4 linked regions of the Caenorhabditis elegans genome follow. The protein of the gene in region 1 purifies or fractionates together with the protein of each later gene. This does not show direct contact. Each region holds a gene or a part of one and is shown in the gene's direction. Other genes may lie near its edges. The genes, in order: H20J04.9, droe-4, Y37F4.1 and rbc-2.

Region 1 (8,218 bases):
TAATTAAAAAAATATGAGAAAACCCCAATTTATTCCAATTTTTACTGTAAAATAAATGAGGAAAAGTTGAGATTCGGAAAATCGGAAAAAATGTAGAAAAGAGTATTTAAAAAAAACGAGGAACCCGTAGATTTATCAACAAAAACATCAATTTTGATGGAGAAGAAAATCACAGTTTATATTTAAAAACCGCAATTTATTGGAAATTTTGAATTTTTCCTAATTTTACCTGAAAAAATATAGTTTTTTTTTTCAATTTTCAACGAAAAAAAATCCCATTTTTCCAGACAGAAACTCCGCAAAAAAAACGATAAATCTGAAAATTTGGAAAAAATGTACGAAAAATACTATACATTTATCAAAAATATGTTCATTTTTTTCTGAAAAGTGAATTAAAAAAACAATAAATTGAACACTTTTCGAGATTTTTTGATAAGTTTTACTTTTTTTTTTTAATTTTACCCCATTTTCAGATGTTTCCTAATTTTTTTCCCTAAAAAAAATTTAAAAAAAAACTAAAAATCGGACATGTCGAAATTCTCTGGAAAAAATCGGTATTTTTCGATTCCCAAAACAAAACAAAAAAAAATAACTCAAATGTGACATTCTTCCGAAATTTTCTAAATAATTTATGTTTTTCCTAATTTTCAAATAATTTTCCGTCATTTTCAGACGGAAACTTGAAGCCCTCCGAACTATTCATACGTTGGCAAAGAGCACTTCTCGAATGTGAATCCCATTCAGCTCTTTCTCTATTCATCTCAACATTCGAAGGATCTATCAAATGGGATAAATCTCGTCTCCAAGGAAAATGTCGTTCATGCCGACGAAAAGCCGCTGCTCATGATCTTGTATTGTGCTCTGAATGTGATAATTGTTATCATTTGAAATGTGCAAAGCTGGATGTTAACTCAGATGCTCCAGCTGATTGGATGTGCACCAGTTGTAGAGCTCAACAGAGAAAAGTTGAGAATGAAGCAAAACGAATGGCTCGGGATGATGATCAATTGGCTGAATCTTCATCACAAGAAGATGTTGCAATTGGAAATATATCGATTAGCGATAATTTCTCTGAAATTGCTCCAAAAACTGCTGAGCCAGCTGAGAGCTGTAGCACCCCGACAACTTCTAAAGAGCCGCCAACTATTCGAACTGCAAGTGGTCGGGCTGTAAAACGAGTTCATTATTCTGATATTCATGAAGGATTAAGCTTGAAAAATCGGAAATCCAATGGATCCATGCCAGTCACACCTTCGGAGAGACCTGTTAGAAATGTTTCTGTTAGAATGTGAGAGTTTGGAATTTTTTTTTTTGACGGAAAACTTAAATTTTCTGCTGAAAAAATCGTTCAAAATGCCTTTTATGATTTTTTTTTTCAGAAGTTTCATATTGTTTGTTAAAAAAAAAATTAAAGAAAAAATTTCCTTTTTTTTGGAAAAATTGAATTTTAAATCTGAAAAATTGGTTAAAAACCGTTCAAAACACTGAAATAACTGAAATAAATTTTTTTAATTAAAAAAATTAAATTTTGAAAATTCAATGGAAAAAGTAGCATTTTCTACTGAAAATCCATTTAAAATTTGTTCAAAAAAAATTTTTTTTAAAAAGAAATACAACTTTTTTTGTCAGAAAAATTTTAAAAAGCTCAATTTTTTTTCAAAAATTGTAGAAAAAATTATAAGATTTGTTATTAAAAATTGCTACAATTTTGGACTTAATTTTCCAAAAAAACCAGCATTTTTTTTCTGAAAAATCCGTTCAAAATTTGTTTAGAAACTATATATTTTTTAAGAAATTCGAGTTTTCTGAAAAAAAAACTTTTTCCTCAAAATTTGGAGTGAAAGTTTTGTTTAAAAACATTAAAATTTAAAAATTAATTTTATAAATATCCTAAAAATAATTATACATATTTTGAAAATTCCTGAAAATTCTAAACATTTGTAAAAATTAGTGGTTTTTTTGTAGTTTTAAAAAAAATTTAACTTTTTTTTTCAAAAAAAGTAAAACATTAATATTCAAAAAATTAAAAATATTATTTTTTAAATAGTTAAAAATTCATTTTTTTTTGTTGGAAAAATTGAGAAAAAGATAAGAAATTTTGTTTGGTTTTTTTTAACCGCCAAAATTCAGGTGTACATCAATTTTTTTGAAATTTCTTAAAAGTTGGAAAAAAAATTATTTTCAACTTTAAAAGGATATTTTAAAATTCGAATTTTTTCAATTAATAAGATTTTTTTTCCAGATTTGACGTTGAAAACGAGAATGTTTTAACTGATGAAGATGATTCTGACGGTGAAAATACGCGAAAGCGAAAGACACCAACATCCAAGAAATCAGTCACATCAACACCGACTACAAATGATATTTCCCGTGTCATAATACCAAATATTAAAGAGAAAATGACATTAATTGAGACATTATTGAAAGAAGCAATGCGTCAAGAATGTTCATGGCCATTCCTTCAACCAGTTGATTCGAAAGAAGTTCCAGATTACTATGACGTCATCAAACGGCCTATGAATTTGAGAACTATGATGAATAAGATTAAGCAGAGGATTTATAATAAACCTATTGAGGTTGATAGTTTTGAAATTTGACAATATATTTGAAAAAAAATATCCAAAAAAAATTGCTTTCTGCAAAAAAATTTATATTTAAAAATTAGCATTTTTGATATAATTAAAATTTTTTAATTAAAAAAACAAAGCATTAATTTTTTTTTGTTGAATTTTTTTTGAAAAAAAACCGCCAAAATTCCAGGTTCGCAACGACTTCCAACTAATCCTATCAAATTGCGAGACGTACAATGAGCCGGAAAATGAAATCTACAAGCTTTCTCGAGAACTTCACGATTTTATGGCGGATCGTCTCGATGAGATCATCGATCAATAAACATATTCATTTCATTTTTCTGTTACTTTTTTTTCTTGAATTTCTACTTTTACCCCCCTCACCTATCAATTTTCATACTTAAAAAAAATTCAAAATATCCATATCGTAAATCCACACAGACTACACAAAATCGTATCTCAATTGTTTTTTTTCGCTCTTTTTCTCTAGCTCTCTCTCCTTTACTATTTCCTAGAAATGTACTCATTTTCTGTTAATTTTTTTTTACAATTTTTTCGTTCACATTTTCTTTCTCTGTCGGTCTTAACTCAACCGCTCCCCCGTTACAAAAATCTCAGTCAAAAAAAATTAATTTTGACACGTCATATTTGTTGTTCTTGAGGTCCCCCTGTGACTTTTCAAAACGTTATTTTAATTGTGCTATTTTGTGTCAACTACTGATGAAAGTCATTGAAAATGAACTCGTAAATTTGAAATTTTAGTTTGAATTTTCGGTTTAGGAGCAGTTTTCAGTGTAGAATTAGCACTATATATTGAATTTTAGAATTAAAAAAATCGAAAAAAAAAATTTTTTTTTAGGGTTTCTTTTTAAATTTAGAAGTTCAAAATGGAACATATAAACTTGCCATTAAAGGGGCGCGGCTTAATAATATTTTTCAAATCAATAAATTTCCAGCTCCAAAAAAATGGCTTCCCAAAAGTTAACAAAACTGTTCGCCAACTCATTTAAGCTGGCGACAAGTGATCTCGCAAATCAATACGCTCTACCGGTTAAATCAATGACTGGAATGATTGTGAGCAAGTATGGTGCATCGAAATCCAGGCGGCTCAATGAGAAAGTCGTTGAGAAAATGGATATTGGGAAAGATGATTTTCTATTTGAAATTGGATTTGGACGAGGAGATGCTATGAAAATGTGCTTTGATCGGGTTAAAGACGGCCGGGGAATGGTAGGTGGAGAGGGTGTAGGCAGGCCTGCCTGAAATGCCTGAAAATTGTAAAAATCTGTAAATCGTGGCCTAGAAAAAGCAAAAACTCGGCCACCGATTTATTTAATTTTTTTCCCACAGACTAATCTGAAACTTTGCCACCCGATAGTGGCCGAGTTTTCTCTTTTTCGCGGCCATGAAGCTCGATGCCGGCTAATGTATTAAAAAAAAACCCAGTCAGATGCACCATGTCTTCACTTTCGCGGTGTGCATTTTGCCACGTGTGGCCTAGAAAACAACTCGGCCACCAATTTTAATCGTATGTTTTAAACAAATTTTTACACCTTCTAGGTGTCCCAAAACAACCTCTTTTCTCGGCCGTGGCCGAGTTTTCTCGCCTCACGGCCACGTAGCAAATCTGATCATTTTCACATTCTCTTTTTCTCTCTAACACCTAAAATTTCCAGGTATTCGGTGTTGAAAGATCCGGCTATATGAACGAACGAGCCATCAAACGATTCGTTCTGGAAATCGCCGAAACCGATAAAATCCGCATCGATTCGGCAGTTGATCTACGGAATCTACCGTATCCCACTGATCTATTCAATCATGTATTCCACGTGGATCTCTTCTATTTTCTACAACAAAATGCACTGGTAAACATTAATCGGGAACTGCTGAGAGTTCTGAAACCCGGTGGAACATTGATTTGTGGAATGCAATTCGATCGGTTGAAGAAATTGACGGAAAATCGAATACTTGAGGAGAATCAGTGGGATCCAATGAGATATCTGTGGGCACTGGAAACGGCGGAATTTAGTGATGTTAAAGTGCTTATTATATTGAGGAGCAAGCGCGCTCCACTGCAAATTGAAAACTCTCCGCCCCCAAACCATGGGTCTCGTTAGGTATTTGACTCCAAAACCGTAAATTCGAAAATTAAAAAAAACTTCAAAACTACAGTATTCCTACAGTGTCCTTACAGTACTACAACAGTACTACTATAGTACTCCAATAGTACTACTACAGTACCCCTACGGTACTCCAATAGTACTACCACAGTACCCCCGTAGTACCCCTACAGTATTCCTACAGTATCCCTACAGTACTTCTACAGCACCCCTATAGTACGAATACAGTATTCCTACAGTGCCCCTACAGTACTCCTACAATACTCATATAGTACTACTACAGTATTCCTACAGTACCCCTACAGTACCCCTACTCTACTTCCATAGTACTGCTACAGTACCCCTATATTACTACTACAGTACCCCTACATCCTACTGTACCCCTATAGTACTATTACTGTACTCCTACAGTACTACTACAGTAATTCGCGGTTCGGCCGCCAAATACCTAACGAGACCCATCATTCGGGGGCGGAGCATTTCCATTTGGCCATGGAGCGCGCTTGCATCACGATTTCAAAAAGCAACACTAAATTCCAGATCAACTACCATAAGGACCCCCAAATTGGTGAATATCAAATCATCTCGGCTACAAAATCTACTGATCCTCTAGCTGGACAAGATCCTGAAGAATTAATGAAAAAATTGGCGATGGATATGAAGAAAGAACGACTGGCCGAAGCGATGATGAATGATAAAAAGAATTTTGAAGATCTTTAATTTTTTCGGTTAAAAATGTTTTTTTAAAATAGGTTTTTAATGATTTTTTGTTGTTATTTTTCGCTATAAAAATAGGTACTTTTGAAAATTTGTTTGGAAGAGTAACATTCTTTATTAGTGTGAAAAATTGGAAAAAAGTTTAAAAAAATTCAAATTTTCGCGCCAGTTTCAACACTAGATTTCCCATGCTCAGGTCCCGGTGCAATTTTATTTCTGAATATTCCACTAAAGTACAGATTCAGTAATGGCATGGATATTTCCGGGAAATGATTGAAAATTTGAAATGTTGATGCGAAATGGAAACGAGCATCGCCTTCCTCAGAATCTTGTTCGAAATATTTTGTCTTCATAAGGATGTCGTATGGAATTATTATAATCTGAAAGATGTTAAATTATATTCCTACAGTACACAACTATAGTACTACTACTGTACTCCTACAGTACCCCTACCGTACTCTATAGTATTCTTACAGTACTCCTACAGGACCTCTACTGGACCTCTACAGTACTACTACAGTATCCCAACTCAATATCCCTTCAGAAGACAACATGTTTTTCCAAAAACTACAGTATTCCTATTATCAAAATATAAAAACTGTCACATAAAATTTGACTACAGCGACGCACGCGAAATATTCGCTCTCGATTCTAGAAACGTCAGTTTTTGCGCTGTATCTTCGCATTTTCTCGTCTCCCGTTTCTGTCATCACCCGTGGTTCCAGCTGTTTTTACGGCATGAGGAATCGAGAGCGAATATTTCGCGCGCGTCGCTGTAGTCAAATTTGATGTGACAGTTTTTATATTTTGACTTTACAGTATCCTACGTTACCCCTAAACCAATATCCCTTTAAAAAAAGTATTTTTTTCCAAAACTACGGTAATCCTACAGTAGTTCTACAGTATCCCCATATAACTCTTACAATACCCCTACAGTACTTCTACAGTACCCCCCCCCCAGTTTCCCTACAGTACTCCTAGAGTACGCCTACAGTACGTCTACAGTACCCCTACAGTATATCTAAAGTACTGCTACAGTACCCATACGGTACCCCAGCTCAAGATTTCTTAATTTGCAGCAATCCTAAAATACCTTTACAGTACCCCTAAAGTACCCATATTCCCTAACCCAAAAAACTCACTAAATATAAAATAGATGTGATAAGTATTTCTATATGAACACTTTTCTCCTCTCTAGACATATTTGTGGTATTTATAAGAACCTTTTTATTTTTCTGTCTCTTCAAATAGTACAAAATCATATAACAAATTATTGATGCTACTGGAAACAAATGAAACATGCGATGGATACTCTAAAATGTTTTTAAAAGTTAAAATTAAAACTAAAGTAACCCTTATTTACCTTATCACTGTAAATATCGCCGTGTCCGTTCCAGGGGTTTTCGAAGAATCCCAACCACAAGATAAATATTCGTTTTATTTTGAAATTTCTCAAACCAAGTATTCCAATAGTAATAGAAAAAGATGCACTGAATAGAATAAGAATAACAATTTGCACGTTGCCAAATATTCGATGATTCCAAGTTTTAGAAAAAAAGCAGAACAATTGGTTTAACGACATTTGAAATATAATTGTCAGGCAGAAAAATCGACTACAGTAATCCACGAGAAGAGAAAATTGAAGGATATCTTCTAGGAAAAGGGAACTTTCAGATGTCATTTCCAGCATAATTATTGCGAAGATTAGGAATGATACTCGGAATATAATCATCGATGATCGGACAACTGTGAATGCAAAAAATGGGGTCTGAAATGACAATTACTTGACAATGTTCGGTCAACTTTCAGGAACTTTTTTGGGATTTATTTTTTCTCTTTCTCTCCACCAAGCCTAAGCCTATGCCTAAACCTAAGCCTGAGCCTATGCCTAAGTTTAAGCCTGAGCCTATGCCTAAGCCTAAGCCGAAGCCTAAGCCTAATCCGAAGCCTAAGACTACGCCTAAGCCTAAGCCTAAGCAGAAGCCTAAGTGAAATCCAAAGCCTGAGCCTAAGCGGAACCCAAGGCGATTCAGACTTACCAACTTCAAGCAATTCTTCTTCAAAATAAATATAACCATAAAACTCTGAACCATAACGTTCAAAACTTCCAAAACCAATAGTAATATAATTTTAATCGAATAAGAATTATGTTGTGATGGGTCTTGAAACGGCTCCGGAGCACATATAATTTTTACACAAGGGGGTGTAGGGAGTACAAGTGGAGAAGTAAAACTGGGTGAGGAATTCATTTTTGGAAAGTTGGGAAGTAAAAATGATAACTAAAGCTGAAGTTTTGATCAAGAAAACCGTTGAAAAGATTGTGTTATTTAGTGTTAGCTATAATTATACAACTTTATATGTAAACTTTTAAACAAAAATTCAAGATAAAGTTCACAAATTACGTGATTTTTTTTAATTTTACACAAATAAACTCTCAACAAAAAACAATGAAAATAACTTCACGTGAACTTCTTGAAAAAGAAGGAGGGAACAAAAAACAACTACGTGTGTCCAAATAATCATCAAACATTTATTCCAGAAATTTTCAACTTTCTGCTGCAGATATTCAATTTTGCTGTTCTTTCAGTAAAAAAGTATCAAAATGAAATGTGAGTTTACACCTTTTTCTGCATATTCCAATTCTGCTCGATTTCAGATTGGAAATTACTATTCATTGGATTTCTAATTGTTAATTGTCATGATAATATTCCAACGAGTTTAACTGCACAATTTGTCAGTGGAAATGCAACAGGAGCCATTGTTACTAGAAGTGCTCCAGAAGGTCAGTGAATGGCTCGTAAATCTTAAGGA
Region 2 (6,868 bases), on another chromosome or scaffold:
GAGTGTCCCATTTCGGTTTGATCTACGTAGATCTACAAAAAAGCGGGAGTTGAGACGCAGACTTCTCAACTGATTTCGCATGGTTCAGAGCGTGCTAACGTTACTTTTTTTGGGAAAATTCCCTTGTAGATCAAATCGTAATGGGACAACCTGACACCACGTGCCGTTAGGGGGAATTTTGAGTCTTGGGAAGTAACACGAAATTTACTTGTCCCATACGGTAACATACGGTAACTTTCTTATTTCAACAGAGGCAAACTTGCAAATTAATCTAAAATATTATCAAGCTCTCAAAATCCTCTAAATTCGTCGGCGAACATCGGCTTAACCGCTCAAATTAGTCTGCGCGCATTTCAAATATTCCAAATTCCATATCTATACCTTTGGAGGTAAATCGTCATCTCCTCGGTCAACGAGAATCTTGAAAATGTCTGCAGGACTGTCCACATTGAACCAATCTTCACAGAAAAGTCCAGCAAGTCGTTCGTCATACGCTCTCTTCGCTTCGAGAACCATCAACACTTGGTAGGCTTTATGGTGATCTTCTTCAAGTCCGGATAACGAATCAGTTGATGCCTGAAACATTTGGAAAATGAATGGAATTATGGTGTCGATGTATGATTTGAAAGTAATCGTAAGATTGGTCAGATCATTGCAGATTTTATAAAGTTGCGTTTGCGTAGGCATAGTCCTTCAGCATCTAACATCACTGAACATCAATTTGAACTATGGCTTGTTTTCGTAGAAATTCATTCTTTTTCTAGGAATAATTAAACTATTGTTCTAAAAAAGAAAAAGTGAACTACCGGAAACAAAGAAGCCATGCTGAGCGTAGAAAATCGTCGGAAATCACGACATTAAAAAAGTTCAGTGCCAGCGACCTTTATTTCAGATTTTGAAAATTAAATCGACGAAAATCAATTTTTCCCCAACATTTTAGAAAACAATGTATACAAGAAAAAAAACAATGCATGCAAACAATGCAAACAATGTGTTTGTTTTATAAGAATTTTTTTGGCAGATTTGAGTGGAAATCAAAAATCTGAAAAGCCCGGTTTTGGGGAAATTCTACCCAAAATCTGAGAAAAATGAACTGAAAAACTTTCAGATTGAAATTTTATGGAAATTTTTTTAGCATGTTTAGTATGTTTCAATGGTATTTTTATCTATACTTCTACTTATTCATTTTTTAAATGTAATTTAACTAAACTATTCTATCAAAAGTTTATTAAAATGCCACCGGACATTAAATTAAACCAAATTTTTATAATTGAATTTCATGAAATTTGATAACTTTAGCATTTCCGGTAACCGGGATACATGACATTTCAAACTAAAAACTCAAAGAAAAAGTTGTCGTTCTTTGAAACAAGTCACACTTATAGTTTGTAGAAGAATCACACGAAAGACCAAATTTTCTAGTAAATTTTTTGTAAACGTGGGAAAATTGTAGTGATGTTGAGTAATGTAGTGTGGTCGAAGCATTTCTGTTGAAACTCACCAAATCATGCAACTTTTTCAGATCTTTTCGCATTGAAGACGGACTGTAGCCTGGCCATTTATTCATAAAATCGCATTCTTGGACTGCATTGTCGAATCGCTGGAAAATAAACATATATTAGTTTTAATCTCCAAAAAAAATAATTTCTGGACTCGGAGATTTTGTTTAGAAAGTAATCTACCAAATCGCGCGGGTTTATAAAATTTGCCTCCCATAAGAATAAGTCTACTTTAAGCCAGTTTTTGCGTGGTTTTTGTTTTGTTGTTCTCCTCTCATACATCGGATTTTACTGTAATCCTATAAAGTGATTCAATTTCCTATTCTCATATCGTAGACATGTTGATTTGAAAGGAAACTGTCTCGTTTGACGTATTATAATAATCATTATTATTATTCACAGGCATTATTCTTCCTTTTTCCAGCTAGTCGACAGTTTCTGAAACTGTGGACACTTGGGGTTTTGAGCTCAAAAATCACAAGACAGAATATTAAATACTTCCACTTTTTTCACAGGTCAGATCTATCTGCAACAAAATGTAGTCAGAATGATACCAGATATAGGGTCATTTGACAAGGGTCCTTCTTCCTTTATTGACGTCAATAATGAAATCAGAACAAGAAATTGGGTGAAAAGTGCAAAGGGCACAAGATGTACTTTTGCCATTTTTTTAAATTTCTTTTTGAGCATCTTCGTGACCATTCAATCATTTTCAGAAGCGTTCTTCACACGCAAATGTGCCACTTCCACACCTCTCAAAAATTTGAAATTTTCACGCTGAAAATTGGATTCCTCATTTTGTGTGGTTCCTGGACACTTTAAGATTCACTAGGATTAAATTGAGATTAACAGTGACGCCCGGGAGCTCGGACTTTTCGGTTTTTTTCGGATGGGAATGCCGACTAGAAAAGTTACATTCGTTGAAGTGAGACATATTTAAAAGTACAAAACGATTTGTTGATCTTCTATACTTTATCAAATGTCTCTTTAAAGCTACTGGCAAACATTCAAATGATCACCTCATAAGGCGTGGTAGATCAATCACTAAACGTGCAGATTGTCTTTAAAAAAATTTTAACTCCAAAATTTGGTCGTTCAAATAATGAGTCAACGTTGTGGCTCACAAAACAGAAGAGTTCAGAAATATTTTTGGTGCTGGTAGCGATGCGGATAACTAATTAGTAGAGGCTAACTGAAATCATTCACGTCAAGAGGCAAAAGAACACCGAATCGCTGAGTCAAAAAGAGTTCTGATCAACAGTAGGGAAGATCGCACTGTGTAGAATGATCTCAAATGGCGCCCTGTTTGGTACGGTGAAATATAGGGCTGTACAACCGGACGTCCGGTCGTCCGAACCGGACGCACATGCGTCCGGTTGGGGGTAGCTATCCACGACGGCCGACAATTTCCGAGTTTCGCCACTCACTATAAAACTGCTGATTAAGTATAGTGAGTGGCGAAACTCGGAAATTGTCGGCCGCCGTGGAAACCTACCCCAAAACCGGACGCAGTGCGTCCGGTGGTGTCAAAATCGGACGACCGGACGCCGATTTGTACAGCCCTAGTGAAATAAGTACACGTCAAAAACCCCAATTAGTGAATAAAGGGATATCCGTGTTATTTTTTTCCGATCTCCTCATTCTGAAAACCTTACTATCTATATGACATAACTTGGCATTCTTCCCTTGATCCTTATGTACTTTTAACTTAATCAAAACATGAGCTGACCATTTATCTTAACATTATCACCCGTATCTGTCACATGTTTCTAAAAAACACCTCCTGATCTTCAGCTTTTCTTTTCCACCTCCTTTTTCCTATTTTCCAGCTCTGTTCAAAGCCCGCCTTTCGTTACTAAAAAACTGACTCCGCCCATTTCAGCTTCATCATATAAACAGAGTTGGCAGTAGGGCTAATCACTACTTCGAGTCACTCGGACATCTGCCGATCTCTTTTTTTCGATCTCACTGAAACGGTCGACATGTTGAACACTCCAACTGTTATTCTCATCTCTTCACTCGTCCTGGCCTCGGGTTACAGTGTTCGTTCAACTGCTAAGAACACCGTTCAAGATGCTCACGATCAACTCACAAAGAGCATTCGGTGCTGGGAGCCGATTGATGTCAACAATCCATCAAAAGGATACACGATGAGCGAGCCGATCTACGAGTTGTGTAGCTACATGCCAGACCCAAAGGACTACAACAAGTACTACGTCAATGGAGTTCAAATGGATTCCGATGATTACACCAACATCTTGGCCATGTACGGAAATCCAATCCCAGGACACGCTGTGATCAACGTTTGTCTACAAGAGGTAGGTTCAATATTATCAGGCTTAATATAATTGGAGGAATCGGTTTCTTATATAAAATCACTTCAGGCATTCCAATTCCACGCTGCAAACCATCCATCTCAGGTCAGCCTACGTTGTTTGTGCAAAAGAGACGGTTGCAATCTACCAAAAGGATTTACAACCTTCCTCGATTTCAATAAGCTCCCGATGCCAGAAGTCTTCTACTAATTCCTGAATCCTTTCGTCCAATAATATGCTATTCGTCGGGATGTCGCCAGTCTTCTTTTCCTATAATCCCCATTTTTGAATAATTCCTGATTTTCTTCTTCCTTGAACCCGTGATAATGACCATTTCTGATAATTGAACAAACGAACTGAATAAAGATGAGAAACGTTGCAGTATTCTGAGTTGTTCCATAATCCCAGAATCTTCAAATGATCGATTGCTTACGAATATTTGAAAGAAAAAGTGAACAAAGACTATGGTATACATACTCTCCCAACTATAAGTTAGCCGACTATTTTCAGATATCATGAAGAGGCTCCTTCGACGTAGGTAAATCTTCTGATTATACCCATTCATCTTGATTGTATAAATGCCGGATTAACTGACATCCATTATTGCTTTCCATTCTTAATCCGATTAGATTATTCCATTTGTAGATCCACCAAAAAATGAAATATATGTGTGACGTATAGAGACCAAAGAAGCTATTCATTATTCTAGATCATTCCAACTGTCTAACTTTGGTTTTCAAACTTTTAAACAGTAAATAAATGAGCCCTGAAGAGTTGATCGCCGTGCGCGTCCAACATCACCCATACAACTCATAAAGTATTCTTCGTGTGAGGTCTTGTTTACGTCACGGGCTCTTCTTGCCAAAAAGCGAAAAGCTAAAAACGAAGAACATACAACGCAACATAGGTTATTCTGCAAAATTAATGAGATCTTGCTGATGAGAGTAATCGAACACAAATTCTTCGATGCATCTGAATGATCAATCTGGCAATGAGCAATGGATACACATAAATTATTTCCCCTGCAAAACTAGTGGCATTCAATTTGCATTTTAATGATAATATGGGAATGAGCACGAATCCTCGCTTATTCCATTTATAACATTCAGGTTAACCGGTCTAGTGATTCTGAACTTTAGCAGACGAGTTAATGATAACCAAGACGTCGAAATCATCAGAGCTGACATTATTGACTTTTCAGCAGAATTCAATACGTCAGACACATCTTCTAATTGGGACGAAGCTTCTAGATATTGTGCAATGATGCTTCTCATCTGAAACCTTGTCTGGCGGAGCCAACTTGCACTTTTCAAGATATTATTCAAGAAGCACGTCAAAGGTGTGGTGGGTGGTGAAACGCAAGAAAAAACTAAAAATATCCTAAATGTTCTATAATCTTTTATTATTGTTTGGGTATTTGATACCAGATCGTGATATTCCAATCATCCAAATGGGATAAGAAGCTATTCTAGATTTTCTGTCATTTCTTGAGCTGAAAACAGCTTTCTTCAATAATCGCGGGGTTTCTTGGCATCGGAGGATTCAAATGTAAAAATCTGCGAACTTAAAGGTTTTCAAACAAACTTCAAAGAGCATGAAAAATCACATAAAGTGGTTAGATTCTCTAGAACAAAATATTACAGTAGTACTCTATGAATGATTCACTGAAAATTTCGAAAAACAAATGTATTCTCATTTTTAGAAAAAAAAACAATTCGTACCGAAGTCAAATCGTGACGACTTTAATCCGCTTTTTATTTTCTTTTTTGTTCGACAACTGGCTTCAATAACGACAATAACGCACGTAATTAATTGAGAAATCCGGTGGATGTGTCATTGGAAGAAAAATTGAATTTTCAAAAAACGATGGGGACCCATTTTTAATCAAAAGAGCATGGGTGCTTTGTTCATTTTATCTTGTTATTCTTGAAATTTCATTCCATTTTTTAAGCACACGGGGGTACTTTCAAATGCGGAAATTTTTTTGGCATTTTTGTGAAATTGCTCACCTTTTCAATAATCGACCACGTGGCGTCGCGAAGAAGTGAACATTTGTGATAAAGAGCCGATCGCATGAATAGAGAAACACATGATTCATTTGATTCGGTGACACTCGGAACGGCGACTCGTTTCAGACGACGCTTATGATAGATGGTTTGGAGGTCCTGTAATAACTTTGAAATGGTGTAATTTTTTTTTTTTTTGAAAAAACTTGAAGGATTTTCAAATTCTCAACAATTTTGATGATGTATTGTGAATGTTTTTTTTAATCGATTAAAGCACATTCACATTTTCACCATTTAAAATTAATTAGAATTCCATTTTGCACAAAGTTGGAGAAAGTAACCAGACGAGCAAAAAAACCTTTTCGAGGTAAAATGGACTTACAAAATAGATATTGGTTTTTAAAAAAAATCAAATCCGTAATTTTTAAGAGGGCTATTTTTGTGTGTAAAAAACTATTTAAAAAAGTATTCATTTTTTTGCATTTTTGGCCATTGTCTTTAATTGTGTCAAAAAAAATTTGTTTTAATTCAATAAAACATTACTTTACATTTTTAGACATCACATGAATAACCCCATACTTAAGAAGTTTTTCTGAAAGTTCTCACCCTAAATGGTGGTGAATATGGCTGAAAAATTTCACAAGCCATCACCATCAAATCTCTCGACATTTTCGGAGCAAACTTTGGCTCAATTTCCCGCGTTACAGATGAAGAAGCAATTGACAGGGCTCGTTGAACGGCAACTTCTGATTCAAGATCCCAATCAAGGTTTGCTCGTCGAAGTCTTTGTGGTGATGATCCTTCTTCATCGAATCCAATACGACTCGGTCCGTTACGATCAATATCATCACACCATTCCAGTGAAGCACACGACGGAGCTACAATTGACATGTTATCGGATTCCTGGAGAACGTATAATCTGAAAAAATGTCAATTTTAATGATCAGCTTTGAAATTTTCGGATGTTTCTAATAGTGCACAGTTTGAAACTTGAAAAATTTGTCATTTTCACATTTTCAGATTATAAAAATTTTATTCTGAAACCTTT
Region 3 (8,609 bases), on another chromosome or scaffold:
AAAATCATATGGAATCATTCTTTTTTATCTTAAAAAACTGTTCGGCATAGTCAAAAATACCAGCAAATACCAAACAGAGTATATTAGCTTGTACGGAAGTATTTTTTAGAAAATTGATAAAAATATATAAAAGCTGATTTTTTCAAAAATTCAAAAGTATGGGAAAATCATATGGAGTCATTCTTTTTTATCTCAAAAAACTGTTCAGCATAGTCAAGAATACCAGCAAATACCAAACAGAGTATATTAGCTTGTACGGAAGTATTTTTTAGAAAATTGATAAAAATATATAAAAGCTGATTTTTTCAAAAATTCAAAAGTATGGGAAAACCATATGGAGTCATTCTTTTTTATCTCAAAAAACTGTTCAGCATAGTCAAGAATACCAGAATATGCCTATCAAATTATAATAGTTTGTACGGAAGTATTTTTTAAAAAATTGATAAAAATATATAAAAGCTGATTTTTTCAAAAATTCAAAAGTATGGGAAAATCATATGGAGTCATTCTTTTTTATCTCAAAAAACTGTTCAGCATAGTCAAAAATACAAAAAAGAATGACTCCTTATGATTTTCCAGGACTTTTGAATTTTTGAAAAAATCAGCTTTTATAAATTTTTATAAATTTTTTAAAAAATACTTCCGTACTAGCTATTATACTTTGATTAGCATATTCTGGTATTTTTGACTATGCTGAACAGTTTTATGAAATAAAAAAGAGTAGCTGATGGTGGAACGAGTTGAGCAGTTTCTGGAACCAGGACAGGCTGTTGAACATCTGGAACTGTTGGAGCTGGAGCCGGAACTTCTGGCTGTTGCTCGATTTGAGCTGGTGTTGCAGCAGGAGCCGGAACAGTTGGTTGTTGCTCATCAGCGTTGGGATGAACTTCTTTTCTTAGTTTTTGTCCTAGTAGAACGAGTGCTTCTAGTACTTCATGTGCTTTTTGGAGCATCATTTTCATTATTTTGCAAGTAAAAATCGGTTAAATTTTCCTTTTTAATCCTTGAATTTTTATTCAGGAAATGGTTGTCATGGAAACAGATAAGCTTATATATTCATCACATTAAATTCAACTTTTAAATAGAAAATAATGCTTTTTATAGGTATTCATAGTCTACTTTTTCGCGAGAACTGGAGCAAAGTTGGTGGTGGGTTTTACTTTTTCTTAATTCAGAAAAAAAAATTTTCAGGTGTCGAATATGAGGGAAATCTGAAAATAAAAGTGGAAGTTGTTGGAAACAAAGCGAAATTATCGGAAAATGGTGAATTTTTGTATAAATTTTTAAATACTTTGTATAATAAAATGTGAATTTTTGGTACCGATGATTCAGATTCCGGGCAGATGAATTTTTAGCAGCTTCAGTATTGGGTTTTTGAGATTTGAGATGTTTCTGCCTTCTTCCTATATTATACTGTAGGAGTACTGTATGTGATAAACGGTAGGGTACTGTAGGTGGTAAACGGTAGGTGTACTGTAATTTTTTGTTCAAAAACTTTTTTTTTCCCTCTCATAACTTTGCCGTCGTTTGAGCTATTCTGATTCTGAGCCAAATATATGAAACCTTGAAGATTTCTTAAGCGAGAGACGAAAAAAATTTTGAAAATCGAGTCATACATCACAGAGATAATCGACCGAATAGAAAAATAATGCCTTTTTTGATTTTTGATTTTTCAACTTTGAGCGTTTGTTAATTGGTTTGTTTAAGTTTAATTTTAATTCTGTTTTTTTTAATAGACTCAGAATTTGACGCTGAATTCAAATATGTAAGATTTTTTTCCAGCTTTAAAAATGAAAAAGTTATGAAAAAAAACTAACATTTCATCTCCTCATCAAAGTTTTCGAAATATCTTTTATGTTTTTACATTTTCTTTTTAAAATTGAAAAATCTTTTCAGCATATTTCTTTCATCTTAGAGAAACTGAAAATTCAGCGCCCAGGGCGCTAAATAATTATTCAAAATTTTTAAATTAGAAACAACTCCTTAGCATATTCCATCAATCTTAGAAATAGTTCAAATCAGCGACGAAGGCGCTGAATAAGTCTTCAAAGTTTTAAATTAGAAACAACTCCTTAGTATGTTTCTTTATTTCAGAAACTTTGAAAAATTCAGCGCCGAAGGCGCTGATAACTCTTAGGAATTTTTGAATTTAGAACAACTCCTTAGAATATTTTTCTAATCTTAGAGAAGATTCAACTTAGCGCCCAAATAATTTTTAAGAATATTTCAATGTGAAACAACTCCTTAGAATATTTCTTTAATCTTAGAGGAACTGAAAACTAAAGCGCCGGAGCCGCTAAATGATTTTTCAAAATATTAAATTAGAAACAAATCTTTGGAATATATTTTGAATTTCAAGGTGAACACACTTAACCCCAACACAGGTTTGAGGCAAAGCCGAGAACCTGCGCCAGCTACCTTGTTGATACTTTAGAGCGAAATAACCCTATCCCCACTCCCGAAGGGATAGCGCACTTTGTGCGCTAGTCTTAAAAATTTTTTTTTTAATTGAAGGTTTACAAACAAATTTGAACTTTTAAAAAGCTTTGCTATGTAGGAAAAAGGATACTCAATTCAAGAAATGGTATGTAGAAAAATCGATTTAAAAAAAGTTTTTTGATTTTTGATTTTTAATTTTAAAAGTTTAGTCCCAATAATTCAATAAAGTTTTTCCAGAAATAGAGCAAATTCGAAAAATAGCTGAGCTAATGGGCAATCCAACGGAACCGGACGAAGTTTCGGATGAAAAAGACGATAGTTCTGAATCAGACTACTAGTTGCTGAAAAAATAATTTATAAGTTTATTTTAGTCACATTGTTGATAGTTATAAATATTTTTTTGAAATAAAAAAAACCAAAAATGTGTTTTTTGCACTGAAAATGTTGCGTTGGCTCAGTTGCAGGGTAAACCCATCAATTCATAACTTCAGCAAGAAGTCCAAATTGTGTTAAGTTCGAGATCCCTTTAGAAAGCAATCTTGCACTTATTTTACTTTTTCTTAAATCTACAGTTCAAATTATTAAACAAAAATATCTGAAATCAAGAAAAGTTTATCTTCACGGATGCTGAAAGTTTATAGACTTGTGGAAGTGTTCTATGATCACTTCTCATGTTGCACTGAGTGGACTTTGGAGACGTGCATAAAGCGCATGACTCTAACGCCCACGCGGCCTCTGAGCAGGGAGCGTCACGCCCTCACGAGTATATAAGCCGACTAGAGAATAACATCCTCAGTCGAGAAAGACCTTGCCTGCTGGCGCCGGACGAAAGTAAGACTCTCGTCGTCTGGCACAGCAACGACTCAATAAATGCTTTAGCACACAATCAAAGTGTTTTTGCATGATGTTTAACCATAAGCTGTGGCACCGGTTTATGACCGTTAACAGACTCCTCCAGTATATAAGGTTGTCCAAACAACTTAATTTTTCATATTTTGTGCAACACTATCTTGCTGAAATGAAAGAAACCGGCCCGTGTTGTTACATTCTGCTCATTTTAATTTTTCCGCCAATCGCCGTCTACGTGAAAGAGGAAAGATGCTCTCTGTCAGTTTGGCTCAACCTTTGTTTCTGCATCCTCTGCTGGTTTCCGGGGGTGCTTCATGCTATAGTCGTCTGTTTCTGCTTGAATTATTTATTTTATTTACTTACTATCAAGAAATGAATTCTTGAGATTAATTTATTTAGAAGAATATAATACTGAATTACAATTAAAGAGAAGAAAAGGGGAAGATAGCGGTCTACATCTAGAAAGGAAGCATTGGTATTATATAATATAATATAAAAGAAGGAACTTATATAGGTCTGTTTTTAATCGAATTATAATGATATTGGGGTTGGCGTGAATCATATGAATAGGAAAAGAAGGGAAACGTTTTGGTTTGAATCATAAGGATCAAATATCATATTCAAAGAGGGAAAGATTTGACACTTACATACAATTAGATTAATTTTTCCATGTACAGATTATCTCAGACCACAGGATATGTAGTTGCTGACTAACATTTCACTGCTAATGTGTAAGCGGCCACTGATTGAATATTGTGGGAGAATTAAAATTTGGACTCTGAATGAAATTGCTTCATAATAAAGCAAAAAGTTATCCAAATTTCTATATTTATCATGTTTTTGGATACTGTAGTTAAAAGGTATAAACGCTTTATATTATATTTTAGTTTTCAAAATACATATATAGGGAAAGCCTCATGCAAATTTGTCTAGAAAAATGATTTGAAATTGTTCAAGAAGTATGAAAATGTTAAAAAGCGTACAGTTAAACAAATTTAAGATTTTGGAATTTGTCAATCAGTAGGTTTATATTAATCTTAAAAATGATAAAATCTGCAAACCCGGATTTTAAAATAATATAATAAAAAAATAATAAAAATTTTAAATAATATAATACATAAAACTATAGAACAATTTCCAGAGAACTGTTTAGATTTTTTGTTGAATAGAAAGTTTCCACAGAAAATTTCAAAAACCGCCTTTGGAGCAATTTAACTGGTAAAACACGGAGCTAATAGTAAGCAAAAATTTCAAATTTTTTCACAAAATTTCAATCACAAATATTTTCTAAAAAATGTTAAAAATAAAACAAAAAATTACTAATTTAAATTGCTTTGTTACGTGACACATTTTATGATGACAAACATACTTGTTTATCAGACATGAAATCTCAATCTCAGTTATTTTATATTTTTAATGGCAAACAAGAAGAGTACGAGTAGCTGCTATGAAAAGCCAATCGCTCAGAAATTATTTTATGGATTAGCTGTAAGTTTTTGGATGCCTCCGAAACCGAAATCCGAAACCGAAAAAAAAAGAGAGTTTTCAGGACCATCCAAATCACGGTGTATTTTCGTCGATTCTGAAGAAAAAGAATCGCTTGTTTTCGATGACTGATGACGTGAAGAAGCTTTGCAATCAAGTTGAAGCTTATAAAGAAGCCGCAGATCGACTTCATCAGGCACTGATTCAAATGTTCGTTGAGAATCAGGAACTTATGAAAGCTGATACGAATTATCAGTACGCTGGGCAGTATCTAAAGACGTATCAGGCGATAAATCAGAAAGGAAGAAAGTTGGGTACGAAGGTTGACCCCAAAGAAATGGATGTGAGTTTAGTTGCAGAATTGATCAGAAAAGTGACGCGACATTCAGTTTCTAGAGCGAATCCTGTTGAAAATCGAGGAAGTTGGAACGACTTTTTTGCACCTAAGAAATTTGGTATATTTTCTAGGCTTGGATTTTTAGGCTTAACAATTTAGGCTAAGGGCTTTTAAATGTTAAAATGTAGGCTTAGGCTTTTCAAATAAACCATTTAAGCCCAGGTAATCAGGCTTAGGCTCCCCAATTTTTTGGCTTATGGAATGGCACCTGATAATAAGGACACAAATTTCAGAGCTTAGAACCGGCTATCCAAACCTTGCTCAATCTGGATTCCATACAAGCAAAGCAAGTCCAAAGGCATCTGGAAAACTTGTCGGCGTTGACAAAATTCATTGGCGTCGACTATTGGGAGTACGCAAGGCTTCGAAAGAGTAAGAATAAAAGGGTCTATAATATGAATCTAAATAAAAAATTTCAGTTTATTGGCTCTCGCTGGAAACCTACGACGACGCAATCAGTCAGCAGAATAAGGAGCGAACGGAGCAAGCCGAACTCGCGGCGGGAAATGCTCAGACATGGAGGAATGAGTGCAGACAGAAGGTTATTGACTTTATCAATAAGTCGATTAATGAGCAGAAGGGGAAACACGCGGATGCAGTTTTGAAGTAAGTTTTGGAACTACTCCCCGAAAAAAAAAAATTTTAAGGTTTCGTGACGATTCAATTCTCTTCCACAAATCCATTGCTGAAGCTATCCCAATATTTGATGATAGAGCACTGCCAAAGAGTAAAGAAAAGCCATTGAAATCCAAATGAAACTTGTCCGAATAAAGAATTATGTGATTTTTATTGCTTGCAACTTCAAATGTGTTATATTTGATTTTAGTCATCAGTTTACAGCCACATCAGCCACAAGGCACCCCTGATTCCACCAAAAGGTGCGCGGCGATTGCCGACGGGTAATTCTACAATTTCAGGCAGAGATGTGTTTTCCCAATATTTTTCATTAAATTTTAGTGAAAAGATGTAGAAACTATGTGATCTCTCCCATAATAACGCAATTGCCGCGCAACCCGGATTCTATCCCTCTCCATCGCCTCAACATTCGCCCGCTATTTCACTTTTTTCGAATGGCATTTTGGAAACGTTTTTTGAATAGCTAAGGTTGCTATGGGGTGGCTCATCACGTCCCACACAACACCCCTAGCTTTAACAATAAATTTACGCTGAAAACAGAACAGAAATGAATCACATTTTATTCTCTCAAGTGCTATAGTCTACTTCAGTGCTTCAACCTTCTCGACATTATTTCTCCTTTTTTCCATCTTTCTTCTTATCCAATTTGTTTGACTTGCAAGCGACTGGTTCCTGCAGAGTTTCTCGAATTTCAGCCAATTTTTGTAGTCCCGCTTTGTACCAGTGTTCTCTTCTGTCATCTGGACAAGTCAATCGCGTAGATGTATAGAATTTCTGGAAAATGTCGTGATTCTCAATCCAAGATTTCATCCATGCAGTTTCCAACGCAGCGATCGGGATCATTGTGAACGTGTTTTCCTGGAAATTATAAATGAAATCCAGAACTAGGAACCGCAATAGACTTGATAGTAAAACTCCAGTAATAGGACTCATTTCAAAAAAATGTTGAACTTACATCTGCAACCAACTTCAAGCAAACATAGAGTGCAAACTCAATCTGTGCAGTCGCTACCAAATCAATTGATCTTGTTTTCTGAGTTCCCATCCAAGATCCAGCGATCGGAAGCATCGAGTCCAAATTCAGGGAGCTTCCCATGATGTGCATCAATGTGTCAATCACTGAAAAATCATTTCATAGATAGGTACTAAAAGGAAAAAAAGTTCCCGGCTTCCCTACCTCTCACCCGGAAAATTCAATAAATGAGAAATCAGTAAAGACGAGAAAAATTATATAAAGAGCAATTGGCTAATAAATCATTTTTCTAATATTTCAAGTGTTTTCAACCTTGCATCTCATTTTTCCGGAGCCGTTAAATAAAACTAACATGGTAAAATAGTCGCTCTTGTATCAACATTTCCCGCAACAATTCCTACATTAGCATACTCGTTATCACTGGACGTTGATTCATACATCTTCGCAAACGGAACTAAATTAAATGAAACAAATCCATGTGGCATATTCTCACACTTCCAGTAGAGGAAACTATGATTACTAAAATTTGAATTAGGAATTTGTGAATATTGTTGGAAAAATGTACACACTCTTCAATCCTTCGAACTTTATACACTGATAAACCGGGAATTTTCGATTTCAATTGTTTTGACGTGTAAATCAATTGTCCACGTTCCTTCACTTCTAGCGATAGTTCAGGGCAACCTTCTTCTGAAAACAATTCAATTCAATTATTTATAAGCCTAAGTCTAAGTCTAAGCTTATAAGCCAAAACAGGACTTACCACCGCGTAAATTGGTCAACTCAATAACAACCCGACACTTCAATCGAACCATCCAATCAAATATTTTCCTCGTCTGCGTATTAGTATTCATAATACACCATTTTCTGGAATTCGGTGCTTCAATGATTGCAGAATGGCAATATTCGTCAGTTCCTTTCTCCTGTTCAGCAATAGATTTACCAATTTGTATGGCATATGCCTGCTGAATTGCCTTGGCAACATTTCGTATCTCTGCTCCATAATCCTTGCCCTCATGCTCTTTTTTGTCGATGAGATTGTTGGTGAAATGCTGACGATTTAGTTCTGAAATTTATTAGTATTTTTTTTGATTAGGAGATCTCACACTCACTTTCCTTCTCTGGTCCATTGCTAACGTCGCAGTGTTCTCTTCTGAAAAAAAAATCGGTTGGATTTCGCTCTATTATAATCAAAATCTTAAAGCCAAAGAAGATACCCACCGTAATCCTCGGTCCAAATCAAAGTCACATCTTTGATTTCTTCTACAATTAAATACACCCTTGTTAATTGGCATTGGTTGGTGATAATATTTTTTAAGCCATGCAAATCCTCCGATTATAATGATTATGACACAAGTAATAATACCAACGAGAGCATAATTCAAGTTTGATAATGTATTATTTCTGAAAGTATCGAAAGTTACGGAGCACTTGGCTTTTATAATTTTTTGGCTAAATGACCTTCAGCTTTCAGGCAGTAAGTATTCTACGAGGGCCGTCCGTTTCTTGCCCGATTTTGTTGTGGGTGTGTGTATTAGTGGTTTTTCGCAGCGGCCGACATTTTTCGGGGTCTGCGCCACACTATGCAGAAGGCATTTTGGTGCCTGCAGGCATTTTGGCGCCTAGGCGGACGAGAACCGCCCCCGGACCGCCGTCTAAAACCTCTCCATTTTCGGCTTCACTTACACTGACTTAGGTGTTGATTGGGCCTGCGGAGCAGTTGATGAAGCTGTAAAAAAATATTGTTCAGAAATTTTATTTAAGATGAAAAAAAACCTGTTGCAGCGTTTATTACTCCAAAAACCAAGAGAAGTAGCATTCCACGTGGCA
Region 4 (8,785 bases), on another chromosome or scaffold:
GTACTTCGATTCCAGACAGATTTCGATTTTTCACATCTCGGAGCTGCTGTAGTAATTCCCCAAAGAGCATCAAATTATGGGCTCTCTCCGTGTGAGAAAAGATCGATGCGTTGAATCGCGCGGGGGCTGTCATGTTGTCGTTCCAAGAAAGGAGTGTGAGAGAGAGAAAACGGAGGGAGAAAGCAATTCCAAATCGATCTGGGGACCGCCTGAGTCTGTCACGTTATACGCTGCGTCTCTCTTCATCTCGTCTCTCTTCAGCACAACAGCAATCGAGCAATCGGCCACATATATAGAGAGAGCTCGTCTCGATCATGCATCTGCACCACCCGTCTATGGGAAGAGAGCACAACGACTACATAAGTGAGAGAGAGTGCGTGGGAGAGAGAGAGAATAGAGAGACCCATCCGGAAGATGGCCAAGAAGAAATCGATTTGATGCTTTCCACTCAAAAGGAAGAAGAAGAGAAGGGAGTGAGTGAGTTGGGAAAACGGAGGGACCGATTGGAGAAGTACTGAAATGAGCAGATTCACGTGGTGTCAAAGTGCCTCATTTTGGTTTGATCTTCAAGAAATGCGGGAGAAGAGACTGATTTCGCATGGTTAAGAGTGTGTGTTGACGTCACATTTTTTTGAGCAACAAAATTCCCGCATTTTTTGTAGATCAAACCGCAATTGGACAGCCTGACACCACGTCTGCAGATTACTATGTAGAGTTGAATTTCTAGATCAGAGCATTCGATCCATGCGTGGGCGGCGGCAATCCGAACTGACAAAGTATAGAATTTTGAGAAACTCTATTTATTGTTCGGATTCCAACTCCCAGAATGAGAGGTCAAACTCTACAGGTTTTCATGAATTCGGTGAGAAAAAATGTGTTTCTTCACCAAAAACATTGAAGTTTTTTGCTAAAAAACTTGTAAATTGTCCAAATGTCGAATCATCAAATTGCTGAACACGGGTAGATCAGGGAAAATTGAAGAAAAAATCTGGATATGCTTAGGCCTTTATTTCTGGAGATAACACATAATACGGCAGCCTGGGAGATCTGCGAATTTGGAATTTTTCGAGTTTTTAAAATCTAAAGAAATTGAGATTCTACAAGCGTTTTCCTCTAGTTTCTGCACATTTCTAGATGAAATTTCGAAATCTAGAAAATCTAAAAACTTGAAAAATGCCCTCCAGAGCTATAAATAAATGTGATATATCTATAGGATTAATTTGAAAATGTAAACTAATCTGATGATTTATGAGCTAATACAGACACTACTAGAAATATGTATGTGTGTGTGTGTGTGCATATGCTACCGGCTGGTAATAAACAATATTTTTTACAGGAAAAGTTGAAAAAAATAGACTAGGAAGTAGTACAAAAACCTACATACTATAGAGCAAAAAATAAAAATTACGAAAAAAGGACAGAGCTCATAAGAGAACGAGATAGAAACGATTTGAATGACAGATGGCGAGAGAGAGAGAGAGATTCGACTAATGTTCGATTGATGGTATGACACTTGGCGGGAAAATCAATCGATATTGATCACGATTTTCGAGATATCGATCATTTGAGGAGCACATAATCTTCACTTCATATTGGAGAACCACCGGAATTTACCAAAGTTCAAAAAAATTGACATTTTTTATGTACTAATTCTACATTTTTTGTAGCATTTCCAAAAGTTTTCTAGTAATTCCAAAAAACTACTTATTTATAAATTACACAGATCCAAATTCCAGAGATATCGATTTTTTAAAGAAAATTTGCACCATTATTTTCTAAAGCAAAATAACTGAAAATTACTGAAAAATGAGTATTCCGAGCACATTTTTGCATTTTTTTCAAGAAAAGTTGTATTTAAAAATCGGTGGAAAAAATCCTCACTTATAAATATCGACAGAGCTTGGTCCATTTTTCATTAATTTCGCTGAATTTTTATTCAAATTATGCAGGATTGTTAGCTCAGTTTTCAAGAATTTATACTCGTTTTCTCTGAATTTTCAGCCCAGTGTTCCAAAAGTTCTCCTCATTTTTTTTCTTGTTTTTTAGCAAATTTCTATATATTTTCTCCCCAATGTTGCAGGATTTTCAATCATTTTTTTTCCTAAAATTTCGAGTAATTTTCGCTGAGATTTTTAGCTAATTTTTCCATAAATTCTCAGCATTTTTGCCGAATTTTCAGCCAATTTATCCGGATTTTCTCTGGATTTTAGCCAATTTTTTTTCCATAATTTCTTTCCATTTTTGCCGGATTTTCAGCCATTTTTTCCATAATTTCTCTCTATTTTTGCTGGATTTTCGGCAATTTTCCCATATTTTGATTCGATTTTCACCGGATTTCAGGCCAATTTTTCTCCAATTCTTTACCTTATTAGTTCTGCCTCTATATGCATTACTCTCCTCAACCAATCGTGTTTTACGAATTTCACTGTCATCTTGTCGTTGTCCAAGTGCTGTCACTTCAGCCTCCACTCTTGTCTGAAATTTCAGATTTTTTAAATAATTTTTTTTTCCAAAAAACTTGAATTCGGTCCCAATCTACAGATTCCCATGCTCTTGAGACGATTTCCATAAGGTCTGAAATAAGAAATTAATCGAATTATTTAATCACAGCAAAAAATCACACAATTTGTTAGAAATAGCACACGGATTAAAACCAGAAAGGTTGAAAAAGTGAAAAAAAAAAATTAAAGAAAATCTACATTTTATTCGCTGAAAAAATTTAAATTTTTGGAAAAAAAAACGGGAAAAAACAAGAAAAAAATAGGAGAATTTGGAGAGAACTCTACGGGAAAACGAAGGGTATTTGCAGAAAAACGGCCAATTTTTCAGAGAAATCTAGCTTTCAGTAATATTGTAGCGCCAGTCGTTGTATTTACGGTAGTCTTTGCGAAGATGATAGTCGGCTGGAAGCTCATTGAGCACTTTAGCTGCTTCTGCCTTGTAGTCACGGAGCTTCACCTCTGAAATTGGGGAAAATTGAATTTGCCGCGAAAAATGGGATTTTAAATGAGTTTTTAGTGAGATTTTCGTGAAATTCAGGTGGGAATGATGCCTAAAACTGAAAAAATTGATTTTTTTGACTTGAAATTCGGATTTTTTCCGCAAAATCTATCAAAATTTAACTTAAAATACAATATTTTTTGGATAGAAATTTGAATTTGTCGCTAAAAAATGTCTGAAATTAAGGTTTAAATAGTGATATTTTGGCTCGAAATTTGAAATTATTCCGAAAAATACAAATTTTACCAGTTTTACAAGGCTTTTTTGACTGAAAAAAGGTGAATTTCGTGACTTTTTAGTTTTAAAAAGCTTTAAAATAGTCAAAAAAGCGAAAAATTTAACAAAAAAGTGGTTTTTTTTTCAGGAAAATATGCAAAAACGTTAGAATTTTTCAAGTTTCAGGAGTTTCTGGGAACTTTTCTGAAAAGTTCATACAAAAATTGAGAGAAAAACAGTGGAAGAATTCAGCTAAAATATTGATTTTTTCGCATTTTTAAATTAATTTTATCGTAAATTCTATAATTTCTGTACCTGGAGCCGCGGTGGCCGAGTCATAGACATGAAGTTTGCTGAAGTATCCAAGCTTTGGACGCGTCAAGTTCAAATTAGCTTCCACGCAGGCATCGAGCTCCTTCTGGTCGTCATGGCACCTGAAAATTGAATATTCTACTGCTTTTTCGCTTTTTTTTTCGGAAAAAAATCACGTTAAAATTTTTTAACGGTTTATTTTCGATGAAATTTCATTTTTGGAAAGCTCACTTTGACATGTAAAGCTTGGCACTGCTCTGATCAACACATTCGGCGAGCTTCTGAGTCTGTGGAAGGCAGGAACGCTTCAAAGATTGAAGAAAATTGACTCCACACGCGGTCAGCGCGGCTCCCTCCTTCAAAACGGCACGTGGATCCTCGGCTTCCTTTCGTCGAAGCATGAACTCCTGCAAAAAATCTCAATTTTATCGAAAATTTGGCAGAAAAACCAACATTTGCCTCCTTTTCGCAATGTTTTGCCATATAGGGAGCGATGGATTTGAGCCATGGAGTTGATAAAGTGATTTCCTGAGGAACAGTGAGCTCCTCGTCACTTGGAAAATGCGTATCCTTGGTTATACTCATCGGAAAATGTACCCTGAAATTGGAAAATTGGAAACCAAGCGGAAACTGTTACAGAGAGGGAATTCGGTGATGAAATTTATTATTTTCGATGAGAAAAATTTGAAATTTGATTTTTAAACAAAAAAAAACAAAAAAAAATCGATTGAAAATAGTTTATTTTGATTTTAAATGATAAAATAAAAAATAAAATTTGTTTTGCGCAACGGCTGTTTGCCCGTAAATCCACACAAGTTTAAAGGCGCATGCCATGTTGGCTCTCTTCCCTGCGAGACCCGCGGCATCTCATGTCGATTTACGGGCTATCGAACTTTGCCCTTTTCTTGCTCCGATTAAAGTTTTCTAAAAAAAAAGCTTATTTAATTGAAGAAATTCAGATTTCATTTCAGATTAAATATTATGAAATTATTGTGTAAATTTCTGCTGTAAATCTGAAAATCTAGCTGAAAAATGGTGGAAGTCGCGCCAGCCGGCACAAAATCGCCGGCGCTCTCCGTTCCAGTTGTCATTTGGGGCCCGAAACCGCCGGAAAACAAGATTTGCGCAATTCGTGTGCTTCCTGATGGCGCAACAATTATCACAGGTTAATATTCATCGAATTTTCTAAACAATAAAACAAAAAATCTGAAATTTCGAAATTTTCAGGCGCTGAAAATGGCCACATTATTATTTGGAAGCTAGCAGAAGGACTTATGCCAAAGCAGCTAATGATTGGACATTCTCAAAAGATTACAGCAATCTCTCAGACAACAAATACACCGACAAATACGTTAGTAACGCAGGATTTGGAAAAAATCGATAATTTCCGAAAAATTCCAGACGTTTTGTCTCAGCTTCAGCCGACGGACGTGTATGCCTCTGGGAGATTCAAGATGGACGGTGCATTGATTCAACATCTTCTATTGCAATTCACAGATATATTTATCCATACGTAGGCGCTGGAAAATCGATTTTTAGCCGAAAAAACCGAGAATTTTTTTGATTTCAGACGTATAAATCGTCCCGTCACACGAGAGCAACTCGTCTTTTCTGTATTGGAGATTATAGTGATATTCAAGTAATGGATCCACAAGATTTGACAGTTGTATTCTCAATTTCTTCAAGAGTTGAACCGGATTGGATAAGCTGTTTTACAATTATTAGTCATCCGGAAAAGGAGGATCAGTTGATTGGAATGACTCTGAGTGGAATGATGAAGGTGTGGAATTAATGGAAAATCGATTAAAAAGCGAAAAAATTAATTTTTTTCAGCCAAAAATCACCGAAAAACATTAAAAAATATCATATTTTCGCGGAAAAATTGCATTTTTAAATGTTTTAATGTGAAAATACAAATTTTCTAGAAAAAATCTTCAATTTTATGTAGAAATGGAAAAAAAAATCGCGATACCCTGATTCAAGCTTATTTTTGAACGAAATTTGGTGGTTTTGAGCAAAAAATTGTAATTTTTGCCCAAAAATTTGGATTTTAAAAGTTTTTTATTAATAATTTCGATTTTTCAAACTTGTAAAACGACAATTTCCGTGAAATTTTCAAATTTTTTTCACTTAAAAATCACAGTTTTTGGAATTTTTTCTCCAGAAAGCCAATTTTCTACTTAATTTGGAAGATTTTTTGTATAGCCTTTAGATTAAAAAAGCTGATTTTAAAGCTATTTTTAAGAAAAAAAAAATTAATTTTTACGACTTTTGACGTTGATTTTGGTGTAAAAATGTATAAATCTATTGAAAAAATGTCATTTTGGACAGTTTTCGAGTGGAAAATTGAATTTTTGAAGCTTAAAAAAAAATTTTTAACTAAAAAAAACACAATTTCCGTGAGAATTTCAAATTTTCAGTTTATAAGCTCTTTTTATGATGCAAAATATCGATTTTAGGCCGTTTCTTATCAATTTTAATGCAAAAATAGTCATTTTCAAGCTCTAAAACCACATTTTTCCAGTTGAAAAGCTCGAAAAATTGAATTTTTATAGCTATTGCAGTTGATTTTTGTGTAAAACATGTATAAATTCGTCCAAAATATGACATTTTAAACGGTTTTTCGAGTAGAAAATAGAATTTTCGAAGCTTTTTTCCCTGTTAAAAGGCAATTTCCGTGACATTTCTAATGTAAATTTTCAATTTTTGACTGAAAAAAGCGAATTTTTGAACAATTCACACAATGTAAAGTGTTCTTAACGCAAAAATCTCGTTTTTAAATAGATTTTTACTTGTAAAATGACAATTACCATAAGATTTTCACATTTAAATTTTCACATTTAAAAATTCTAATTTTTGGTTTAAAAAGCTATTTTTAATGCTAAAACGGAAAAATTTAAATTTTTCCGAGGTAAAAAATTGATTTTAGATAATTTTAGACCAATTTTAACGCGAAAATAGCCATTTTCAAGCTCTAAAACCCCATTTTCCAGGTGTGGACGCTCACAGAACTGGAGAAAAAGGACCCAGCAACATCTCTATATGAAGATGAATCAAAACGACTAGAAATTCAACATATTCGAAGTGTTTCATATATTTGTTCAACAAGAAGAATGCTTTTAATAATTGCATCGACATGTTGGATGATTATTGATATGGATGATCTTTCAACAGTAGTTTTTCATAAAAATGAAATAACTACGAAACGTTGTGTGGCTGGATATCTTACGGATTTGGATAAAGTTACAATTGGATATACTGATGAATCAATTCATGTATTTCAATTGCCTATCGAGTGAGAAAATTCCGGAAATTTTTATTGGAAAATACCGGAAAAATCGAATTTTTCAGCTAAAAACACATGAAAATCAACAAAAAATCACAAAAACGAATAATTTTCTTTGATAAAATTATCAATAATCTAAAGAAATTTGAAATTTTCCTGGAAAAAGCATACAATTTGCGAAATACCCTAATTTTCTAGCGTGTAATCAAAAAAAATTGACAAAAATCGAAAAATTTTTGTTTAAAAAATTAAGTAGTTTTGCACTATTTCGATAGATTTTCGTATATATAATTATTGATTTAAACAACAAAAAATGAAACAAAAAATCCGCTTTTCCACGAAAAACAGATTATTTGCAGAAAAACTATATCTTTTAATGAAAAATTGACAAAAATTGAGCCAAAATATCCAAAACGCACATTCTGACGAATTTTCTCATAGAAATTGCTTATCGAGTGAAAAATCCCGGGAAAAATCGACTTTTTCGGCAAAAATTGAGTTAAAATCGCTTATTTTCAATTAAAAATATGCAAAAAAAATAATTAAAAAAAAGATAATTGATTTTTTTGGAAAAAATAAAAAATAAATAAATAGCTTAAAATCACGAATTTTTGTTGAAAAAATTTGAACATTTCCCACAAATTTGACATATTTTTGCCTAAAAATTCAAGATTTCAACGCTAAAAAGTTGAATTTTCTTGAAAAAATTCTCTTGAAAAATTTTTTTTTTTCGACTTTAGCATTCAAATTAATCTAAAATATAGTAAAATAGTATAAAAATGGTGAAATTTACTATAAAATTCAAAAATTTCAAAAAATAATAAAAATTTCAAATTCCAGAAGTCTCCAAAAAGAAGGAGTACCGCCAGTTGTTGCAAATAATCGTCCAACCTCAAATTATTTCGATCAGCCGAATCCCTTCATTGTGGCCACTGTAAATGGTGTTCAGGAGCACTCGAGATCTGTAAGAGCTCCGTGTCGATTTACGCAGCTCGTGTGTACTCCCCGAGGAGAAGAAGAAATTTCCTGATTTCAGGCCATTTTTCACTGATTTTTTCACTTTTAAAATTAAAAAAAAAATCGCCGTGGTTACTGTGAAAAACCATGAATTTATGTTGATTTTGGCTCTAAAAAGGCAATTTTTGTCTAAAATTCTCAATTTTTAGTATTTTTTAACATTAAAATCGCCCATTTATCGAATTTTACTTCAAAAAACTATTAAATTAGCAAACCTTGACGATTTGAAACCGAAAGTGATAAATAATGACAGAAAATTCTAGATCTCTAATTTAATAGTGTTTATTGCTATAAACTGGAGATTTGAATACCAAAAAAAAAAGCGCCAAAAATTGCATTTTAAGCTGAAAATCGAGAAAATTCATTGATTTTCCCAAAAATCTCTACAAAAAATTGTGAAAATTGCATAAATCAAGAATGTTCAGCTCAAAAACTGTAAAGTCTTGTCCTCGGGGAGTACACGAGCCGCGTAAAGCGATTTTCCAGCTTAAAAGCCCGAAAATTCTCAATTTTCCCAAAATTTTCAGTGCCTAAACGACGTTCAATTTGCATTTCTACCATATAATTCTTCAAATTCCCTGGAATCTTCATCATCTTCATACGAAAAACGTCGTTTCTCAGTTGTACGAAGTTCAAGAAGAGATGGAAGTGTACTTGTATGGAATATGCCACCATTTGATCATCAATTCATGAAAGCTGTGCCAGCTATCAGGAATTTGCCATTTAGTACGGGCGATTTTTGATCTAAAAATAGAAAAAAGGCTAAAAATTTCAAAAAACCTGCGAAAAACGTATTTTAAAATTTTTTGTCATGTTTTTGCATATTTTTCTTTAAAAATTTAATTTTTACTCCAGTTTTCATGAAAAAACGCTCAGTATTATCATAAAATTTCATTAAAGTGAATTTTTGGGTCCCATCACGAAAAATTCGGGGTTACTGTAGTTGTTGCAACT

Evidence for each region.
Region 2: the proteins of H20J04.9 (region 1) and droe-4 fractionate together in Caenorhabditis elegans (co-fractionation; one large-scale study listed by BioGRID). This does not show direct contact.
Region 3: the proteins of H20J04.9 (region 1) and Y37F4.1 fractionate together in Caenorhabditis elegans (co-fractionation; one large-scale study listed by BioGRID). This does not show direct contact.
Region 4: the proteins of H20J04.9 (region 1) and rbc-2 fractionate together in Caenorhabditis elegans (co-fractionation; one large-scale study listed by BioGRID). This does not show direct contact.

The regions. Positions count from the first base shown.
Region 1 is NC_003280.10:4,347,662-4,355,879, forward strand, and holds H20J04.9 (Methyltransferase domain-containing protein), read left to right. Parts: upstream 1-3,526; 5' UTR 3,527-3,536; coding exon 3,537-3,800; intron 3,801-4,246; coding exon 4,247-4,609; intron 4,610-5,230; coding exon 5,231-5,410; 3' UTR 5,411-5,497; downstream 5,498-8,218. Other genes in the region: athp-2 (Bromodomain adjacent to zinc finger domain protein 1A), read left to right, coding at 673-1,288, 2,243-2,576, 2,761-2,892; H20J04.7 (Serpentine Receptor, class Z), read right to left, coding at 5,560-5,787, 6,550-6,720, 6,771-7,175, 7,447-7,656; H20J04.1 (uncharacterized protein), read left to right, coding at 8,010-8,016, 8,064-8,189.
Region 2 is NC_003283.11:13,989,281-13,996,148, forward strand, and holds droe-4 (dietary restriction over expressed), read left to right. Parts: upstream 1-3,375; 5' UTR 3,376-3,481; coding exon 3,482-3,817; intron 3,818-3,883; coding exon 3,884-4,024; 3' UTR 4,025-4,196; downstream 4,197-6,868. Other genes in the region: ric-7 (CRAL-TRIO domain-containing protein), read right to left, coding at 382-576, 1,502-1,600, 5,824-5,979, 6,427-6,739.
Region 3 is NC_003279.8:10,854,844-10,863,452, forward strand, and holds Y37F4.1 (BAR domain-containing protein), read left to right. Parts: upstream 1-3,243; 5' UTR 3,244-3,802; intron 3,803-3,965; 5' UTR 3,966-4,148; intron 4,149-4,668; 5' UTR 4,669-4,704; coding exon 4,705-4,776; intron 4,777-4,837; coding exon 4,838-5,116; intron 5,117-5,403; coding exon 5,404-5,542; intron 5,543-5,589; coding exon 5,590-5,776; intron 5,777-5,817; coding exon 5,818-5,926; 3' UTR 5,927-5,955; downstream 5,956-8,609. Other genes in the region: Y37F4.4 (Signal recognition particle-docking protein FtsY), read right to left, coding at 666-956; Y37F4.2 (Sec-independent protein translocase protein TatA), read left to right, coding at 1,092-1,149, 1,192-1,263, 2,677-2,777; Y37F4.5 (START domain-containing protein), read right to left, coding at 6,416-6,664, 6,762-6,925, 7,132-7,298, 7,349-7,469, 7,543-7,845, 7,892-7,932, 8,001-8,183, 8,466-8,508 and 1 more.
Region 4 is NC_003281.10:2,524,404-2,533,188, reverse strand, and holds the start of rbc-2 (WD_REPEATS_REGION domain-containing protein), read left to right. Parts: upstream 1-4,499; 5' UTR 4,500-4,509; coding exon of another isoform or gene 4,510-4,539; 5' UTR 4,540-4,560; coding exon 4,561-4,693; intron 4,694-4,755; coding exon 4,756-4,879; intron 4,880-4,929; coding exon 4,930-5,041; intron 5,042-5,098; coding exon 5,099-5,308; intron 5,309-6,521; coding exon 6,522-6,823; intron 6,824-7,654; coding exon 7,655-7,778; intron 7,779-8,358; coding exon 8,359-8,557; intron 8,558-8,785. Other genes in the region: cone-1 (Protein CASP), read right to left, coding at 2,365-2,475, 2,519-2,569; Homeobox protein cut-like ceh-44, read right to left, coding at 2,365-2,475, 2,519-2,569; ndua-8 (NADH dehydrogenase [ubiquinone] 1 alpha subcomplex subunit 8), read right to left, coding at 2,836-2,960, 3,532-3,650, 3,760-3,935, 3,982-4,113.